Danio rerio: one gene and its partners. The protein of the gene in region 1 binds, or shares a complex with, the protein of each later gene. Links are inferred from orthologs where the notes say so. Each region holds a gene or a part of one and is shown in the gene's direction. Other genes may lie near its edges.

The links.
Region 2: dkc1 (region 1) and wrap53 share a complex: the UniProt entries of both Homo sapiens proteins name them as parts of the telomerase holoenzyme complex. The link is inferred for Danio rerio from reciprocal best matches to the Homo sapiens genes DKC1 and WRAP53.
Region 3: dkc1 (region 1) and nhp2 share a complex: the UniProt entries of both Homo sapiens proteins name them as parts of the H/ACA small nucleolar ribonucleoprotein (H/ACA snoRNP) complex. The link is inferred for Danio rerio from reciprocal best matches to the Homo sapiens genes DKC1 and NHP2.

The regions. Positions count from the first base shown.
Region 1 is NC_133196.1:47,459,019-47,464,594, forward strand, and holds part of dkc1 (H/ACA ribonucleoprotein complex subunit DKC1), read left to right. Parts: intron 1-1; coding exon 2-122; intron 123-164; exon of another isoform or gene 165-240; intron 241-308; coding exon 309-427; intron 428-2,689; exon of another isoform or gene 2,690-3,063; coding exon 3,064-3,167; exon of another isoform or gene 3,168-4,771; intron 4,772-4,955; exon of another isoform or gene 4,956-5,254; coding exon 5,255-5,294; exon of another isoform or gene 5,295-5,386; coding exon 5,387-5,554; intron 5,555-5,576.
Region 2 is NC_133182.1:20,882,497-20,889,536, forward strand, and holds the start of wrap53 (telomerase Cajal body protein 1), read left to right. Parts: upstream 1-2,688; 5' UTR 2,689-2,895; intron 2,896-4,616; 5' UTR 4,617-4,651; coding exon 4,652-4,889; intron 4,890-7,040. UniProt on the Homo sapiens protein: RNA chaperone that plays a key role in telomere maintenance and RNA localization to Cajal bodies. Specifically recognizes and binds the Cajal body box (CAB box) present in both small Cajal body RNAs (scaRNAs) and telomerase RNA template component (TERC).
Region 3 is NC_133196.1:33,052,403-33,059,577, reverse strand, and holds the start of nhp2 (H/ACA ribonucleoprotein complex subunit 2-like protein), read left to right. Parts: upstream 1-3,126; 5' UTR 3,127-3,259; coding exon 3,260-3,410; intron 3,411-3,591; coding exon 3,592-3,661; intron 3,662-7,175. UniProt on the Homo sapiens protein: Required for ribosome biogenesis and telomere maintenance. Part of the H/ACA small nucleolar ribonucleoprotein (H/ACA snoRNP) complex, which catalyzes pseudouridylation of rRNA.

The DNA.
Region 1 (5,576 bases):
GGTGAACGCTATATGCTATGGCGCTAAGATTATGCTACCTGGCGTCCTTCGGTATGAAGATGGCATCGAGGTCAATCAAGACATTGTGGTTATAACTACTAAAGGAGAAGCCATTTGCACAGGTAAATGTCATCCTTTGAAACTTGTAGCATGCGCCATTCTCAGCCACATGATGTGATGTAGATTGCATTAGCATTGCTGCAAAGATGACCGTTTATCTATCACCCATGACTGATGGCTCTGCAAGACTTTACAGTTGAAGTATTAGGATTTGGATGGGTTTCAATGGTTTTATTTTCCTCCTTCAGCGGTTGCTCTGATGACCACAGCTGTAATATCCACATGTGACCATGGGGTTGTCGCTAAAATCAAGAGAGTCATCATGGAGAGAGACACATATCCACGCAAATGGGGTCTTGGACCAAAGGTAATGAACATTGAGAGAAATTTGACGCCATGATGTAGGCTTGAACTCTGGTTATATCAACTCAAAATTAACCCTGTAATCCAAACTAGTGCAATCAGGCTTTGTTGTAGAACGACGTTGATCACTTTGTTTACTCTGGAGTTCATGAGCATGTGCAGATGAAGGCAGGACAATAGTAGCAAGCAGCCAATCACATGCCTTGAAATTAAGATATTTAGATTTTTTTTAGTTTCTTCTGTGAGTAAATTAACAATTCGCAGCCAAAATGTGTAAGTGGAATTTAAAAATGCTTGTACGCTCATAAAAAGAGCTGCTAAAAGGAAGTCATTTTGGTTTATTAATGCAAATGAAGTTAAATCCAATCTCTCGGCAGTATAAAGTCACAGTTTTATCTAAAACAACAATTGTGTGTTCATGGGTCGGTATAAGATTCTGACAGTATCATAACCTTGGACAAAAATATCACAATATTGTTATTACTGCTCTAAAATATAATCTTTAAAAAAAAAAACAACAACATTTTTTTTCCCCCTTTTAAAAACAATATATATTTAAAAAAAAATTAAATTTAAAATATTCTGTAGCAGTAAACGTGTCAAATAATGAAAATGAATTATTGACTTGTGCTCTTTTCATTAGTTTCTAAAACACCGATTTCTTTACAATTTGAAACGGCATCTTTGAATATCTTTTCTGCTGGAGATACTGTTGTCCTAAAAACTAAAAGTAAATTAAAAAAATATATATTTTGGCTGTTTTAAAAACCTTTTTTTTTCCCAAACCATGGTATCCCTTCAAAACGGTTATCGTCCCATGCCTAGTTAATGGCAGAACCTATTGTATTTTCAGACCCGTAGCCAAGCAGAGGGGTATGTGGTTCAAAAGATCCACCCCCCCACTGACAAAGTCCATAATTTGGCCCCTTAATGAGCTCATTTGTCTCGATTTTGACAGTATGCCATAATAAATTGTGAAAATAATCGATAGAAGTAGGTTTTAAGGGTGCTTTCACACCTCCACTTTTGTTTGGGAACCTGTCTCATTTGCCCAGTTAGTGCTGTTCGTTTGGCATATGTGAAACCAGCAATCATGCTAGGATCTGTGCCAAATCAATCGCTCCGAAATCGTTTGAATGAGGTGGTCTCGGCTCGATTAAAACTTAACTTTGGAGCGGATCCATTGCAGTGAGAAAGCGATACGATCCGAGCGCGGTTATATCACTGTGTTTTATGGATATGTAATAGGCATACGGCGATATGAAGAGAGAATTATAGGGCGGGAAATTTCGCGAGTTTCCAGATGCCCGCAAACGTGTGATAATCTCCTGGTAATCTTGCGTCTTCCTCCCGGTCCTCAAATGGGCTACGTCGTGCATCATTCTCACCCCTCCCCACCCCGTCTCTCCTCACTCTACAGATGGACGCACCTTGTTAAACACCACCAAACCACCACCTCTCCTGACAGCTGACCGAGACTCTGCAAAATTAACCCTGACACTGACCAATGTGAGGAGAGTTTACTCACACGTGACTTGTTTTAGCTCTTTTGGTCCGTTTAGAAACTTTGCTGTGTGAAAGCGAACCGCGCCAAGAATAAAGAGCAACAATGTAACAATAGTAATCTCTATTTCGGAACAACTGAATCGATTCACAGGTGTGAAAGCAGCCTAAGATAGATAAAATTACATTTAAATGGACAAATTCTGACTTGCTGACCTGTTTATTTACCTATAGGGTAGTTTTTGAATTAAAACATGTTTTAACAGATTCCTAATTAGTTTTTTCATGATGAATAATACATTTAGTGTTTCATATTTCTTAATTTTAAAATGTTTAATTTTAAAAATCTAATTATTTTATTTTTCAAATGCACATTTGTAAAACACTTCATGGTTAAATAGTAGTATGGTGAGCACTTTGTAGGAAATATTTTTGTTGCACTAAAGTTTGATTATAATAATCAATCAACAAGCTAATCCAGAAAAGGTTAGTGCTTTAAAGCAGTGTTTGAAATTCATAATTTAATAGAAAATGAGGTGAATAACTGCAAAAAGGTCTTTATTTATTTTGAGAAAAGAACCACCCCTTTTAATAGTCTGCCGTATAGTTCAAATCCTAAGCACAGTGTGGTGTGTGATTAATTTAAATGTTACTGCTGGAAAGTCATTTTATTGGCTCCCTGTGTCTTGTTGTGGGAGTTTTTCTTAAGTCGGATATATCAAGTTAATGCTGAATCATTTTCTGCTTTTAGGACCCTCATAAATCCCTTTTTTTTTTTTTTTTTTTTTTTTTTTTTTTTTTTTTTTTTTTAACAAATTTAGTTTGGCTTCAGATGCCTCCTGCCTATTTTAAGTGAGTACGTAAAAATATGAAAGTTTGAGTCTGGAGATACGAAAGAGACAGCCTATTGAAATACAATAGCTTAAATGTCTTTGTGGTCTCTAAACTAAAGCATATTAGCAGTACAGCATAATATACAATGGCAATCCAAAATTATTTAAATGTTCCTGCTGCCTAAAATCCAGAATTGGTGCGTGTTTAAACAGGCTAGCCAGCTAATCCATCTTCATGGTACACGCCCCAGAGTAAATGTTAATAATGATGTACTATTTAAATGTGGCAACTCCTGCATTTCAGGCCAGCCAGAAGAAAATGATGATCCAAAAGGGACTTCTAGACAAACATGGCAAACCAAACAACAGCACACCTTCAGACTGGAAAGAGGGCTATGTAGACTACAGGTATGCATGTTTCCGTGTTCGCACACATTCCTGCAGACTGTTATCCCTTTTTGTTCTGCTGTGAGCCTAGAGGGAGTCTGTCTGCTAAAGCAAAACCCTGAGCTCAGGCTAATGCTGTCTGCACGATGTGTGCACGATGGACACCTGAGCTCTGTGGACATCTGCATAACTCTTCCTGATCCTGATCTTTCTTTTAATGATCACTTGTGCAGGTTTACACTGACTGCATTAATGCAGGCTAAACGTGTAGCAACACAAAATGCCTTTAATAATCTTAAGAAAGCATTTTGGTGCCTTCACAACTTCTGTCGTCATTATATTTTACACGAAAGCCAAAATGTTTTTATGTAAGATCTATATAGAGGCGATCTCTTATTCGTTATTAATCATGCCTTTTAAACTGTGGGTTGTGATCTTAGCACCCCTAGATATTAGTAAGAGTATTGTTCGTTGTATAGGATATCTATAAGCTAGTGTGCTCAAACAGTAGATGTTTATATCAGGGTCCCCGCGGGGTCTTAAAGTATTAAATCTTAAATTAAAAAAATTGACATTTATGGCTTTAAAAAATCTTAAATTTGTTGTTCTTGGTCTTAAATATTTTTGCACAGGTCATATTTTTGCGATGTCCATGTAACGCTACATCTAATGCTCATTTAAATTCTTGTTGTTGTTGCTTGGTTTTTGGGGTTGTTGTAGTTTTATGACTATTATTACTTTATTTTACTAGTCCAATTGTAATTTTCTGTTTTACAACTGCAAAAAAGTCAACTTGCAATAGCCAATCAGCTTTCTGATATTAAACTCAAATGTAACATCATCGCTGTGTTTGCGGAAGTTCACTTTGAGTGCGCGCGACATGATTTCGGCTGGCAGAGTATGCCGTTATTTCACTGACAAATGTCGCAAGTGCAGTTTTATAAGTCGAGAGCGCTGAATAACGAGAGAGTGAATCTCTGCTCACGCGCCGGTTTCCTTTGTTCATGGACAAAACTGCTTGCGAGCTCTCAAAACACTGGCTGCTCACGTGCAAATGATCTGCTCTCGCTCCGTCGGACTCCTTTCGTGCTTTTCCAGAGAAGCTTCAGCATACTGTAGTAGTAAGAATAGTGAACTGATAAAATGAAATACAGTTTAGTTTTACTACATGTAAGTGTGTTGAATTGTTGAAAAATATACCCCATATTGTAAAAAAAAAAAAACTAAAGCACTGGGTAGTTTGTTTTTAATACAATTTGTTACCATAGCAACCATAGTATTACCACAACAGAGTAATTGAAGTACTTTACAAAACACTGTACAGCAGACACTAGTTCACTTTATTTTAGTGATAAAATGGGATTGATAGTGGGATTTATTTAAAGAGTGAATAGTACAGTATAATACAGCTATAATACCTTATCTAATTTTTACCCATTTTCTATCACAGCTACATTTCTGCTTGCCAGAATGACCAATATTTATTGGCTAGAAATTGCAACAGCCATGGGAAAGGAGGAAAGTTTTTGTAAAACTTTGGAAAAACTCTGAGGGATGAGTTTGTTAAAACAAAAAAAGAGGCCCCCAAACACATCTTCAATGATAATGATTATCATTTTATTTGTCTGATTTTACTTTGTTTTTTTGGAGCGCCCCCTGTCATTTAAAAAAAAATATCTCAATGGTGAACGTGTCAAGTATAAAAGCCTTAATCCGTTTCGTGAGTTGTGCGGTGCCAGGTGAAAGTATAAATCTGCATTAAGATGTTTGTGTTTCTGTAGTTCAATGGTGCATTTAACCTGACTTCACTACTGTTCAATTTAAATAACTTTATTTTACCCCTAATTTTGTGCTTTTACATTTTCTTTCTGGTGTTTTTGATATTTCGATATAGCTCTTAAATTTAATACTTAATGGTCTTAAAAGGTGTTAAATTTGACATTGTTATCTGCAGAGACCCTGTATATCAGCTTTGTCTACTAAATGTGAATTTTCCAAAGCTCAATTTGTCTCCTAAATGGATTAACAATTGACTATTTTATTTACTCTTATTACTTGCATCGCTACTATGAAATGTTAATTCATTCATTTTTTTTTTCCTGTTGTAGCACAACGAAGGTGAAAAAGGGTGGTGAAGCTTCTGCAAAGGTAAACCTGACTGCTGAAATGCATCAGTACTTTTAAATCCAATACTGATCGATATTGAATGTTTATTTTTTGTCCTTCAATGTTTGTTGTAGAGGAAACGAGACGAGAGTGGAAGTGAAGGCGAAGCTGCAGCTGCTGCTCAGGACACCTCAAAGACGGAGGAAGAAAGCAAGAAGGAAAAGAAGAAAAAGAAGAAAGAAAAGAAGCAGAAGTTGGCAGAGGAGGCAGCGGCCGAGGCTCCAGCGGAGGAAGAAACTGAGGTCAGCAAATAATATATCTGGA
Region 2 (7,040 bases), on another chromosome or scaffold:
TAAATTCTGTCATCATCCAAACTTTTGAACACAAAGGAAGATATACTGAATTACAGCCATTGACTTCCATTGTATTTTTAAAATTCCTACTATTGATGTCACTGGCTGTTTTTTTGCAACATTCTTTAGGTTATATTGTTTTGTGTTGAACAGAGAAAAGCATTTCATAAAAGTTTAGAACCATTTAAGTCTGAGTAAATGGTGTGAACATTTTCATTTTTGGGTGTACTATGCCTTTAAGATAAATAGAATTGTGTAATTTTGCAGGTCAGATTAAACTAGATGCCGAATGTCTTTGCTGGTATGCAAAAATTCATGTTTTAAAATGTTAACGATGATCAAAATACGCGTTTCATATATTTATTGATTCAGTCAGTATGAATGGCAAAAGTACTGCAGTAAGCCGTTTGTTCGTGTTAAAATCATCCGCTGAATTAAATTGGAAATGGCTCACTGTAAATCAGCACTGCATAATGAGAACTTGTCACATATCTTAGGTGGATGTCTTCTAAAATTTGCTGTATAAAAAGGTCACAAACCATTTGACGATAATGTTTGAATATTCCTGGTGTAAATAGTTTTTGGGGTTTCTGGTTTGTTTGAAGAAAAGTAATAAATACTTAAAGAATAAAGAACTTGTGTCGACTCACTGTTTGGTGGTTTACATAAAAACTAGTTGTCAGGGTTTTCATTTTTGTCTGCATAAAGTGACATACTTTGCCTGCGGGTAGTAACATGCTAGAAACAGGTTAGCAACATGCTAATCTAGTCAAAAACATGCTAGTATGTTATATATGCCAGAATGTTAACAACATGCTAATAATGTGATAATCATGCTAGAAACAGGCTAACAACGTCCTAATCATGTTAGAAGCATGCTAGCAATACACTATTCAAGCTAGAAACATACCCAGCATGCCAGAATGTTAACAACATGTTAGTAATGTGCAAATTATTTTAGAAACAGGTTAGCAACATGCTAATCATGTTAGAAACATGCTAGTAACATTTAATCATGTCAGAATGTTATAAACATGCAAGTAATGTGCTAATTATGCTAAAAATAGGCTAGCAACATGCTAATCATGTTATAAGCATGCTAATCATACCAGGATGTTAACAACATGCTAATAATGTGCTAATTATGCTAGAAACAGGCTAGCAACATGTTAATTATGTCAATGTTAACAACATGTTAGTAGGCTAATGTTCTGATCATGTTAGAAACAGGCTAGCAACATGCTTATCATACCAGGTTGTTAACAACATGCTAATAATGTTATTATTATGCTAAAAACATGCTAGCAACATTATCATGTTAAAACATATTAGTAGCATGTTAATAATGCTAAGATATTAACATACTAGAACTGTGCTAATCAAGCTAAAAAAAAGGTTAGCAACATGCTATTTGTGTTAGAAACATGCTTGTAACATGTTAATCATATCAATATGTTAACAACATGCTAATGTGGAAATCATGTTAGAAACTATGTGCTTATCATGTTAGAAACATAATAACATGCTAATTATGCCAGAATATTTACAATGTGCTAATCATGCTAGCAACATGCTAATCACGTTAGAAATAGTAAAGTTAATTATGCCAGAATGTTAACAACATGCTAATAATGTGCTAATCACGCTAGAAACAGGCTAGCAACATGCTAATCATGCCAGAATGTTATCAGCATGCTGATAATGTGCTAATCATGCTAGAAATAGGCTAGCAACATATTAATCATGTTAAAAGCATGCTAATGCAAAAATGTTAACAACATGCTAATTTTGTGCTAAACATGCTAGTAACACGGTAATCATGCCAGCAATGTGCTAGTAACCATAGCAGCTGTATCCTAACTGCATAGCTACCGCTATCATTTTGTCCCCGCAACCACTCCCTATCTTTTTTGAGATGTACACTTTTTTTTAAACCTCAAGCTTTTAAAACTATTCAGACTGGGTTTCTCAAAGCATTAATGTTTTCTTCTCTAATTAAATAATATTTATTTTTCCATGTGGAAAAAATAAAAAATAAATAACATTTAGAAACAATGATCAAAATATATTTATTTGACTAGAGATTCACAAATAATCTTATCTCCACACTGGCGTGCACAAATAACACACAAGCCTTTCTTTACTGTCAGTGTGTGAATAAAAAAAAATGCACAAGGATGTGAGTATATAATGTATAACAGTAACATTCATTTAAAATTATATATTTAGTAAATGCAATTAAACTGTCCACTTTAATGTTTTAAATAAAAAAATGTAAAATAGGGGTGGATTACGTTTATCATCTTTTAGTATGAGCGATAAAGATTATTAAGTGGTCCAAGCAACTTTTTTCTATATTTAGTGAGTAAAGTTTTCTATCAGTTGTCAAATCCAATGGTAATTTGAAGGATATCCGCAAATATAAAGTTTCAAAACGACACTTTAGCTTATTGAGGGCTGTTTTGGGAATATGCCTGGCGAGGTTTTGTCATAAAAGCTTTCATTACACTGAAATATTGATATTATTTCTGTTAAACAGTATGAAGACGTCTTTATTTTTGCTTATTGAAAAATACCAAACAAAACACAGTCTAATATATGACAAAATACATTAAAGCTTTTCGAAAGTGTACTAAAAATATTTCATAGTATGACGCAAATATCGCGAGAGTCACGTGACCTGGATAAGCTTACAGTGCAGGCATGGCGGCGCCCTGCGATTACAAACACGACGCGCGAGTTTTTGTTGACTGTTGGTTTAACATAGTGCATTTGTAGTCGAGATGCTCGGAAACTATTCTCTGAATTCAATAAAACACAAACACTGAGGACGACTGCGTGTTCTGTAAGAGCCAGAGCACAAGACACATCAGACACGAGTTAAAGAAACAACAGGTAGAGTGATGCCGCTGTTAAACACAACATATTTATAATTACGATTATGATAATTGTAATTTTAGTGATGCAGCCGCACCAAATTGTTAACTTAACACCTGACAGCATTTATACACATCTGCATATACACTAGAATACATGTCAGGACGGGACAGTGTCGTTATGTGTTCTAAAAAGGTTATCAAGCAGACAAAAATAGAACAACACGAGTAACTAGGTGACATTAAAAGAGTCCTAAAGTTGGTTTTATATTCGGACATTCGGACTTTCACCTTAATAGGAGGCCTATTTTCAGAAAAGCATTCTTTACAAACTCGAAATATGGACATCATATTAGCCTCCAAAGACTAAAGTACAAAATTGTTCAGAGTCAATTAAATAGTGTTTGCTATTTCTGAATGTGTGAATGTAAAACCAACTTTACCTCAATTTTAAGCCTCACAGTGCAGCCGCAAGATGCTGATTTGTTGCAATTTTAATTCGAAACTTTAGTCTTTAACTCATTTGTAAGCAGACGTTTTTAATCATTTAAAATACATTAAAATATCATAAGGTAATTTGTTCCATTGTATGTTTTAATAAGTACAAGTCAGAATAACTTTTTCTTTTTGTAAGAATGTCTGTATTATGCTGTATTATGCACTATTCCATCCATATTTTCATATTTCAGTTATCTAAACGTATATTGAAATAATATAAACACTTGCATTTAATATGCTTTCTGTTTATTTATGAAGAGTTCAGATGCACAAACCTCTAAGTGCTGTTTGACCTTTACTTCTAAACTGGACTTTTTCCCCCAGCTTCCTGTTTAGGTTCAGTAATTTCACTTTTATGGCAAATAAGTTGTTTTCATGTTTCATAGCTTTTAAAGTGAACTTATTGAACATAAACATGAATGGCTGAAAAAAGAATAATTTTAGAGTGCAATGTCAGAGTTTTTTTTTTTTTTTTTTTTTGCATACAGTGTATATATATTGAATGTATTATGTATAGGTGACCCAGGATCAAAAAATTATGACTGTCAAATTTTGGAATTGAGATGTATATCCTCTGAATAAACAAGCATTCCATCGATGTATGGCTTGTTTAGATATGACAATATTTGATTGAGATTCAACTGTTTGAATGTCTTGAAGCTTAGGGTGCATAAAATACAAATAGTGAGAAAATTGCCAGTTGTCCAGATTGAGTTCCCAGCCATGCATATTACTAATCAAATGATAGGTTTTGATATATTTACAGGAAAAAACTTGCTAAATATCTTCATGAAAGATGATTTACTTAATGATTTCTGACATAAATCGATAATTTTGACCTATACAATGTTTATTTGGCTATTGCAACAACATAAGGGGGAGGGGTTAGAGGTCATATTTAGTGAGAACTTCTATTGTATTCATTAAGGCATTACAAGTACATTTTTATAATGAAACATTTTTTATATATTACTTACTATTTAAATTCTATGCGTTTTTTTTCATTTCAAAGAAAGTATAAGCATTTTTGCTGAATTTTACAATAAAGAGTATACATTTATTTCTCATAATAAATGAGCAAAAATAGATTTACAGAAGTCTCGCATGTGTTTTTTAAGTTAGAAATGGGTAATGAAAATGTATAATCTCCAAGGACTTTTTTTATTTTTTCATTTTCAGACAATTTATGTGTGTACTGTATATAACTATAACTGAATTACCATGACTTGCTCATATTTTCAGAGGCCACTGCACACTTATTTATCAGTGAATACAGGATGTCCGGTGTTGCTCAGAGTGGTGAGGGTGCTGCAGGACAGGAAGCAGAGGCTGATGGAGAACCTCCCCATGAAGCACTTGTTCAAGGAGCACTGGAAGAAGAGGAGGAACCAGCAGCGAAACAGCCTCGACTCCAGCAGGAGGATGTGGCTCTTGATTTCCCTATGATAGAGATAGCCCATGAGCCTTCAGAGGAGAAGAGCAAAAGCCAAGATGCTGCTGGGGTTGAAGAGGAAGGTGAGGCCATTTAGTAAAAGCTACAGTACATTTAGGATTTAATGCATCCTGTTTGGCACTCTGTCAATACACACTTCTGATGTGAGAAATAAACTCCATATGTAAAGCTTCCGCTTCCATCTTTAAAGAATTACACGGATCTTGTCCTTTAGCTTTTCATATGCATTCAATTTTATAGATAAGTGTGTAAGTGAACTTTAGGGTCCTTCTGAAATTTGAATGTGATGTTTTTTTTTTTTTTTTTTGAGCTGCAAGGAAATGAAGTGTTTTTTGTTTTTTTTCATGGTGCCACAAAATATATAAAATATAGTTTAATGCTTGATCCCAGGATGTGTTTGCTTGCTTGGAAATGAAAAAGCAGATAAATTTAACTGAATTACACCTACAGGAAGAATTAAGAAGTTCAAAATCTCACTTTACATTCTAAATAAAGGTAAGCAGAATGGGATTAGTGATCAAATAATACACTTTTTGGAATCTTTGGAATCAAAAATCTTTATATATATATATATATATATATACACACACACACACACACACACACAATATGCCTTTTAGACAAGCTAGACTTATTTATGGACATTTACTCAAGAGAAATTGCTTTAAAATGCCAGTATTGGAATAAAATCCTAAATGTAAAAAGCATACTCTTAATGTTATGTGGAAGTGGTTTTAATCTATAGAGACTTTGGAATTATTCAATGAGAGTATATGTGAATTCTTCAAAAATTTTAGAAATTATCCAAAAAAATCTTTAAAAGAAATTAATCCTAATTTATTTATTATTGTATTGTTTAAAGAAACATTTTACTTATTTATTAATTATATTTTGGGCTTAGTCCCTTTACTAATCAGGGCTTGCCACGGTGAAATGAACTGCCAACTTCTCCAGCATATGTTTTACACTGCAGATGCCCTTCCAGCTGCAACCTATCACTGGAAAACCCAAACACACATACACTACGAACAATTTAGCTTACCCAATTCACCTGTACCACATGTCTTTGGGTTGTGGGGGAAACCAGAGCACCCGGAGGAAACCCACACTAACATGGGGAGAACATGCAAACTTAACACGGAAACGCCAACCAAGGCTCAAACCAGCGACCTTCTTGCTGTGAGGCGACAGCACTCATCGTGTTTATCATTCGTTCATTCATTTTCTTTTCAGCTTAGATCCTTTATTAAACAGCGGAATGAACCGCTAAATAATCCAGCATATGTTTTACACAGTGGATGCCCTTGCAGCTGCAACCCATCACTGGGAAACACCCATAAACACTCATTCACACACATACACTATGGACAATTTAGCTTACTCAATTCACCTATAGCGCTTATCTTTGGACTCTGGGGGAAATCGGAGCACCAGGAGGAAACTTACATCAACAAGGGGAGAACATGCAAACTCCACATAGAAACGCCAACTCACCCAGGCAAGGCATGAACCAGTGACCTTCTTTCTGTGAGGCATCAGCGCTCATCCTGTATATATGTTAACAAAATTATTTTGGTATTATTGCCTGATACTAACTGGAACATGCACCAAAACCCTAGCAAACATTACAGCAATTATACAGCACAATCAAAAATACAATACAAAAGATATCAGCCAGAATAATGGAATAAGAAACAAAATACTGCCAAAAATAGTTACAGAGACATTATTAACCTACATCTAAGGAAGGGGCCCCTATATTTTGTCATACATTTTCTGTTTGCCAGAGAATCTAGAGAAACATAACCTTTCCAGCTTAAAGGCAAAAATCATTTCAGCTTTTAAAAAAACTTGGAGGTGTCGTGGAATTTCACTCCATCAGAATCACTCTCTTGGCCTGCACCATGCCAAACATAAGGGAGAGTTGTTGGTGTTTAGGCCAAGTTAGAGCCTGGTCTGAACATCCATACAAAGCTAAATCCAAATAAATTTTAATGTCTATTTCCAAAGCCTGGGAATAAAGTCTGAAGATGCTTAATCTAGAGAGACTTTGAAGGAATTTTTCAATGAGAGTAAATGTGAATTCTTCAAAAGTTTTTGAAATGAAAGGAAATATTTAAAAAAAGAGAGATTTTCATATTATTTTATGCATTATTGCATTGTTTATAGAAAGATGTTACTTATAAACTGTAAATTTGATCATATTTTGCCTT
Region 3 (7,175 bases), about 14 Mb from region 1:
TTCAGTAATTGTCAAATTATTAAAACAGTAAAATTGATCATTAATAAAGTGACAAACGGTACAATTTATCATCCATGAATTCTTTTAAAATCATAATGTAGTCACAGGCCTCAAAAAAACACATGAAAATGATACATTCTATATTCTGCAATGGAACTGTTGCGAATGATTATCGATGCTGAAACGATATATTGTGCAGCCCTAATCTTTAATCTGTGGGGGTATTGATTTATCTAATTTGGCATGAATCTAAATTTGCTTGCTTGACATTTATAATAAGTAGTACAGCATTTGTTTATAAATGCTTGATATTTTCTATATTTACAATTGCTATATTTATACGATTTGTACCAGATAATAAGCAAATCAGAATTATCTGCTTGTTTAATGTGACGTCACATGAAGTGGCTTCCAGGTCCAATTGCTCTATTAGACTGAATGAGGAGACTCAACAAATGGCAAGGATAAGCATAATGTTTGATAATGTTTGCAAAGTGATGTCATGCTTTCAAAAATCACAATTGCAATATTTAGTTCCATGCCTAATATCAAATGGCTAGAAAGTGATTCATTTTTTTATAAATTGTTCAAATATTGGTGACTGTGATGCAGCAAGTCCAGAGATTGTTGCATATAAAAATCATTTTAATGTGTGATATGACTTAAAATTGGGCACAAATTAACATTTTCTCCTTTCAAATGACTAGCGGCCTGGACCCGGAAACAGTATTTTATACGTCACGACTTAACAAGTGAATATTGGCCTTCACTTTTAACATTGTATCTAAATGTTTAATTGTTGTTTCTAATTTAGTTTTTGTCAATTGTTAATTAACTGTGCTTTTCACAGGAGCGATACAAGCGAGCCGTTGCAGACTCAGACAATGTTAGAAGAAGAACACAGAAATTTGTCGAGGACGCCAAACTTTTTGGTATAACTAACTATACACTTAATGCACGCATACCTTGGTGTCTCGTAAATCTCTCAGTCCCACATTAAGCATAATTGTCCTCCTGCAGGGATTCAGAGTTTCTGCCGTGACCTGGTAGAAGTGGCAGACCTTCTGGAGAAGAACTTAACAGTTGAGGAGAGCGATGGAGCACAGCAGCTGGCACAAAACCTGGCACACATTCAGGAGCGGCTGCAGGACATCTTCACCAAGCACGGACTGGAGAAGATGACCCCTGTGGGAACCACATATGACCCCTATCAGCACGAAATCGTCTGCCATACTCCAGCCGAGGGCGCGGAGCCTGGAACCATCGCCATGGTCAAGCAAGACGGTTACATGCTGCACGGACGCACCATTCGCCATGCCCTCGTGGGTATCGCTGTCAAGACTCAAGAGCGGTGACAGGACTTTGGTTCACTTCTTGTCCCGCTAATGCTTTTGTACATTCATAGTTTGTACGATGCTATTGTTCTTACATCTCTAGACGACTACATGTTTGACTTACTCTTTGAAGTAATGGTTATTTATATGTATTTATAAATGTTTTGTTGTTGTAAGCTTCTACACCAGTTTTTGTTTTGAACCCCTGATTTACACAATGTCCAGTGCCCATTTAATGTCTGGAAAGGTTGTCTTTTTGTGTGTTGCAGTGTTAAATTGACCCGGGAAATGCACTTTACGCCTTTATTATAGTGGATTCCGTATGTGATACTAGTTTAGAGGGAAAAGCAGCATATGAGATTGGTGAGAATATTAGTAACACTACAGTTTGATGATGTGTGTTTAACAACAGTTGAGGATTTGGTTATGAATTAACAATGAACAATCATGTTTAAGGCGTTTATTCATCATGGTAATGTTTAGTAGATGTATATCTAATTAGTTCATTGTCCATGATATTAGTAAATGCTGTAAACCTTTAGCAAACGTTTAGTTCATGGTCACTAATTTTAATGCATATAGCATTATTGTAACCTTTCCAGAAAGTTGTTGAATGTGTAAAGTGTTGAAGGCCACCAGTATCCAAAACAAAAGACAAACGTTTTCTCTTTTGGATGGGAGAAATGCACATTATATATAGATATGCATCCAAAGTGCAAATGAGCTTCGTGCTATTTGGGAGATAAAGTGAACATAAAAAATATTTATGTATTTATTCTGTTTGAAATAGTTTGCCCTGATAGTTTACATATTTTTTGTAGCTTAGAAGAAGAACTGAAACTGTAATCTATTTACATTTTCATTTAAGCTGAGTTTTTACTCATGCAATTTTTTTTTGTAAATGATGGAAACTCTTTAGTTTTGAGTGGATGTGTGAGGCTGATGACTGAATAAAAGTCTTTTCTTTTCGTTTGTTCATTTTGTGCACTAGGGGTCAGTGTTTTTAAAACAACTCAAAAACACGACATTCTAGATGTAGATACATAGATGCCTCTTTTAGATTCTGCCATGTAACGAGCAAAATATTCGAGAAGTTGACTGTAAAAACAAGCAAGTGTGAATATATCTACAATAGATTTTAATGTATTTTTAGCAACACGAATGCATTAGTTGATGTGTATAATAAAAAGTAATCTTTCACAATAACATATACATTCTTGAAAAGTAAACACGTTTAACTAATTTTTCCAAATGACTTTAGATTGTAAAATGATTTCCCCACAATACTGCTGATAAAACCATGAATTAAGATGCCATTATAAAATACCTACATTTCCCCCTCTAAATGTCCAGTTTCTTTATAAATTAAAATCGAAGTGGTAAGTGCAAGCTAAATTTACCGTTGGCGGACGGAGTCTGGAGCGGTTTCTAGCTCAGATACGGTTGCGGCCGGAAATTAACAGTAATCATTTATATTGTTTATTAAGTTTCCTATTTATTGTATTTTATTAGCGTCTGCCCCAACCCTAAAGCCAGCTTATACAGTGATGTAAAAACGGCCGTTTTGCCGCACTTATTTATTATAAATAAATAAATGGTATTTCATTAACGTCTGCCCCTAAACTCAACCGTCACAATACTGTAAAAATATTATTGTTATACAGTGTTATACAATATATTAAAAATATATTACTAATAAAATATTATTGTTATACAAAAATGATCCGCAGCTGTATCTAGACTTCACCGTCGAGAGCGGCATCTATGTATTATTCGACTCTATGGAGGAAATACTGCAGTGTTCGAAAAACACCGGAAATACGTTTATAGTCACCGCACGTGTGTTGTGCCTTGCATCCTGTGCCTGCAACACTATCAGCCTTAAGTTAATCGCTAAAGTATATTTGTGTACATTTTAACAAAAGATGACAAAGGTAAAGAAGGAGAAAGCCGGGGAAGAAGAAACCGGAGGGACGGAAAAATCATATCAAGAGTTGATAGCTAATATTAACCCAATCGCAAACCCGCTAGCATCGCGAAAACTTAGCAAAAAGCTCTACAAATGCGTCAAGAAAGGTAAACACGTGTTCAGAACTTGTTTTTAACATTCATAAAGAGTAACGTTATTGCCTGCGAGTGTGAATGAAAGTATACTAAATATCGCTGTCTGTAGGTTTAATATGTTGCAGACACGTGGTTGCAGTCATTTGTTCATTGGTTATGAGTGTTATTCATTATTATATTTATATTTTCTTAGCGGCTAAAGTTAAACAGATCCGACGAGGAGTCAAAGAAGTACAGAAGTTTATCAACAAAGGAGAGACTGGGTAAGATTAAGGTTTTTTCAGGTATTTGTTAAGCCCATTGGTTGATCAGTCCAGGGTTTAACCCATATTAGCCTTTTAAAAAGTTCATTCTAGTTTCAAATTGACTACACTACTAGACAAAGAATAATACTAATTTTTAATTTAACACGAAGAAATGCACAAAATTCACAAAACTATTTGAGCTCATGATGTTGTATTTGGTTCAGTTTGTACGCAGTATGATCATCTTAAAGGGATGGTTCAACCAAAAGTTATTTTATATTTTCATAATTTACTCACTTTTTATTTTGTTCCAAACCAGTTTAACTTAATTTTTTCGGTTGAACAAATATATTTTGACTTCCATTGCATTTGTTTTTCTTACTATGGTAGTCAATGTTTTCAGCTTGTTACAAAATATCTTTTGTGTTCAACAGAAGGAATAAACTTGAGGGAGAATAAAGAGTCTGTTATTATTTTTTTTCCCTGTGATTTATCCCTTTATAGTGTAAATATATCTTTAACTTATGGTTATAGTATATGAAAGCTATATTAGTTTTAGAAAACTAGCAGTATATTTTATTTAAATTATTTAAAAAATATCCTTGAATCTGTTGAAACTTTAGACCATTTTGAGGGACGTAAACAATAACAATGGTCCCAATTAGGCATGGGTGGTTTAGAATTCTGATGCTATGATAACCTTAGATCAGTGGTTCTCAAACTGTGGTACGTGTACCACTAGTGGTACGCAGGCCTTCTTCTAGTGGTACGCGGATGAATCAAATATGTAATATGTACATGCTACATATATTTAAAGAAATTATCAAAAATGATTTATATACGAATATGATGACATGAAGCCTATATTTATGAGGTCTAGGCAACTTTTCCAGGTGCTAACAAACCAGGAGTTATTTCTTTTTTTAAACTGTACAGAGCTTAAGCTGCTTTACTAGACCTAATACGCTACTGTATTTCAAAACTGCTCATTATGGTGGTACTTGCAAAGACAATTTTTTTCCGAGGTGGTACTTGATGAAAAACGTTTGAGAACCACTGCCTTAGATAGAAATATCACAGTTTTGTGATCACAACTCTAAAATATTTTCTTTTAAATGTCTAAAAAAAAAAAAACACGTTCTTCTGCTGCCTTCAAAAACACAAATTTCTCTACAATTTAAAACGACATATTTGGATATCTACTCTGCTGAAGATGTTGGCCTAAAAAAGCGTAAATAAAAAATCTTACACATACCTTAGGAATGAAATACATGAAAATTTTGAATGTTTTAAAACCTGGACTTTTTCCAAACCGCGGTAAACCTTGAAAACAGTTGTCATCCCATGCCTAGTCCCAATGTATTTTCTGTTTGACATGTTTTCATTTCTATAGCTTCTGAGAATCCAAAAAGGTCAACATATTGATAAACAATGTTATAGTAGCTGTTTTAGCATTGAGTTATAGTTAAATTCCCTCTTTTAACAGTTATGATAGTCTACACATGAATCATTTCTGCATGAAGAAATTACTTCAGTATTTTGTTTGTAAAATGTAATATCGTTTAATTAAGAAATTGTTACCATTTATATAGATTATATGCACTTATAAATTTAATTATATTATGTATTTAAAAATATTTTCAACTATGAAATTTAATAATAGCTTTCGTCTTTGTGAATTTTTATATTTGAAAAATTTTCTCAAGTTTTATGTATTAAAATGGGTAAGTGTGTTAACATGGAACTTGTATGGTAACATTCAAATTGTTTTGATTTTTTTGTCATTGATCAAAGTTTGCTGATCAGACACAATATGGCTTCAGTCAGACAAAAAGTTATTATGAGTTATGACTTGAGATCAAGCAGGCCTGAAATCTGAAAATCAAGTCAGAGTTATTAGCCGCCCCTTATATTATATATTAGATATTTATTTATTTATTTATTTATTTATTATCCTGTCTAAATGATGTTTAACAGAGTAGAAAATTTTCACAGTATGTCTGATAATGTTATTTCTTCTAGAGAAAGTCTTATTTGTTTTATTTCGGCTAGAATAAAAGCAGTTTTTAATTTTTCAAACACCATTTTAATGACAAAATTATTAGCCCGTTTAAGCTATATATTTTTTCGATATTCTACATAACAAACCAGGGTTCATACAGTCATAGAAACCCTGAAAAGTCATAGAATTTTGACATGGCATTTTCCAGGCCTGGAAAAGTTTTGGAAAACCAGAAAAACCCACAAAGTTTTGGAAGAATCATAGAAAGTAGTTTAACAAATATCTGTATACTTGAATTAGGGCTGCGCGATATTGAAAAAATCTGACATTACCATATTTTGTGTTTCTGTGATATATATTGCCATATAAATACAATTTTGCCAGATGATTTTACAGGTTTATTTGGATTGACCGGGGGGAATCTTGAATAATATATAACAAATTAATTTCATGCATAGATAAATAAAATATAATAAAGATAAAAGCTAATGATAGTTTTCAGGTATTCACTATTCATGTACAGATATTGAATAATAAACACTGCATAGTCTTTATTGCATATTATTTAATCTTTAATAAAGTTACAAAGCATTTCTTGTGAAAATTGTCATTTTTGGGTGAACTATCTCTTTAAAGATGCGTGCAGATGATAAACTTCTACTCCATTATAATTAAACTATAATTCCAACATTGCATATGCTGGGATGTGACTATTGTGGATGCACACACTGCGATATCGATTACATTCCTAAAACGATATATTGTGCAGCCCTAACTTCAATATTGGTTAGTTGTCTTACTTTCTGTCCTTGGCCAAAAACTTGCTCACATAAAAATAAATTTAAACAAAATAGATTGTTGCGTGTTTTATGATATGCTGTAATAAATTTGAACGTCATTGATTTTCTTATTATTTACCATGTATATGTAGACATTACATGAAACATTACGTCATGAAAATGTACTTGAAAGTTCTGGAAAAGTCTAAATAAAATATTGTTTACTGTCATCATGGCAAATATGAAATAAATCGGTTGTTAGAAAGGAGTAATGAAAACTATGAGGATTAGAAATGTATTGAAAAAATCTCTCCGTTAAACAGAAATGGGGGTGGGGGGAGGTAAACGGGGGCGAATAATTATGACTAACTGTTTGCGTTATGTATGCTTTATCAGGATTAAAAAATATTTTTTATGAATTGAACTTAATCATTTAATTGTTAAAATATAAGTTACAATAGTTTATTATTTTAAATGTAATACAAGTGTTTTTTTAATGTTTGTATTTAGTGCTGTCAAAATTAGTGTAATGCATGCAATTAATTTAAAATAATTAACGCATTGCAGGGTTTTTTTATTTCCTGTTGTGGTCGACGTGTGTATAACATGCAAAGAAATATGGATAAGAAGACCAAGGAAGCACTTTTTGAAGGAAAGTTTCAGTATAAAACAATTAATGTCACTTTTAACTTTCGACTTCTGTTTTAATAGAATTTGATACCGCATGGTGAATGGAAAGAAAAGCCTCTGC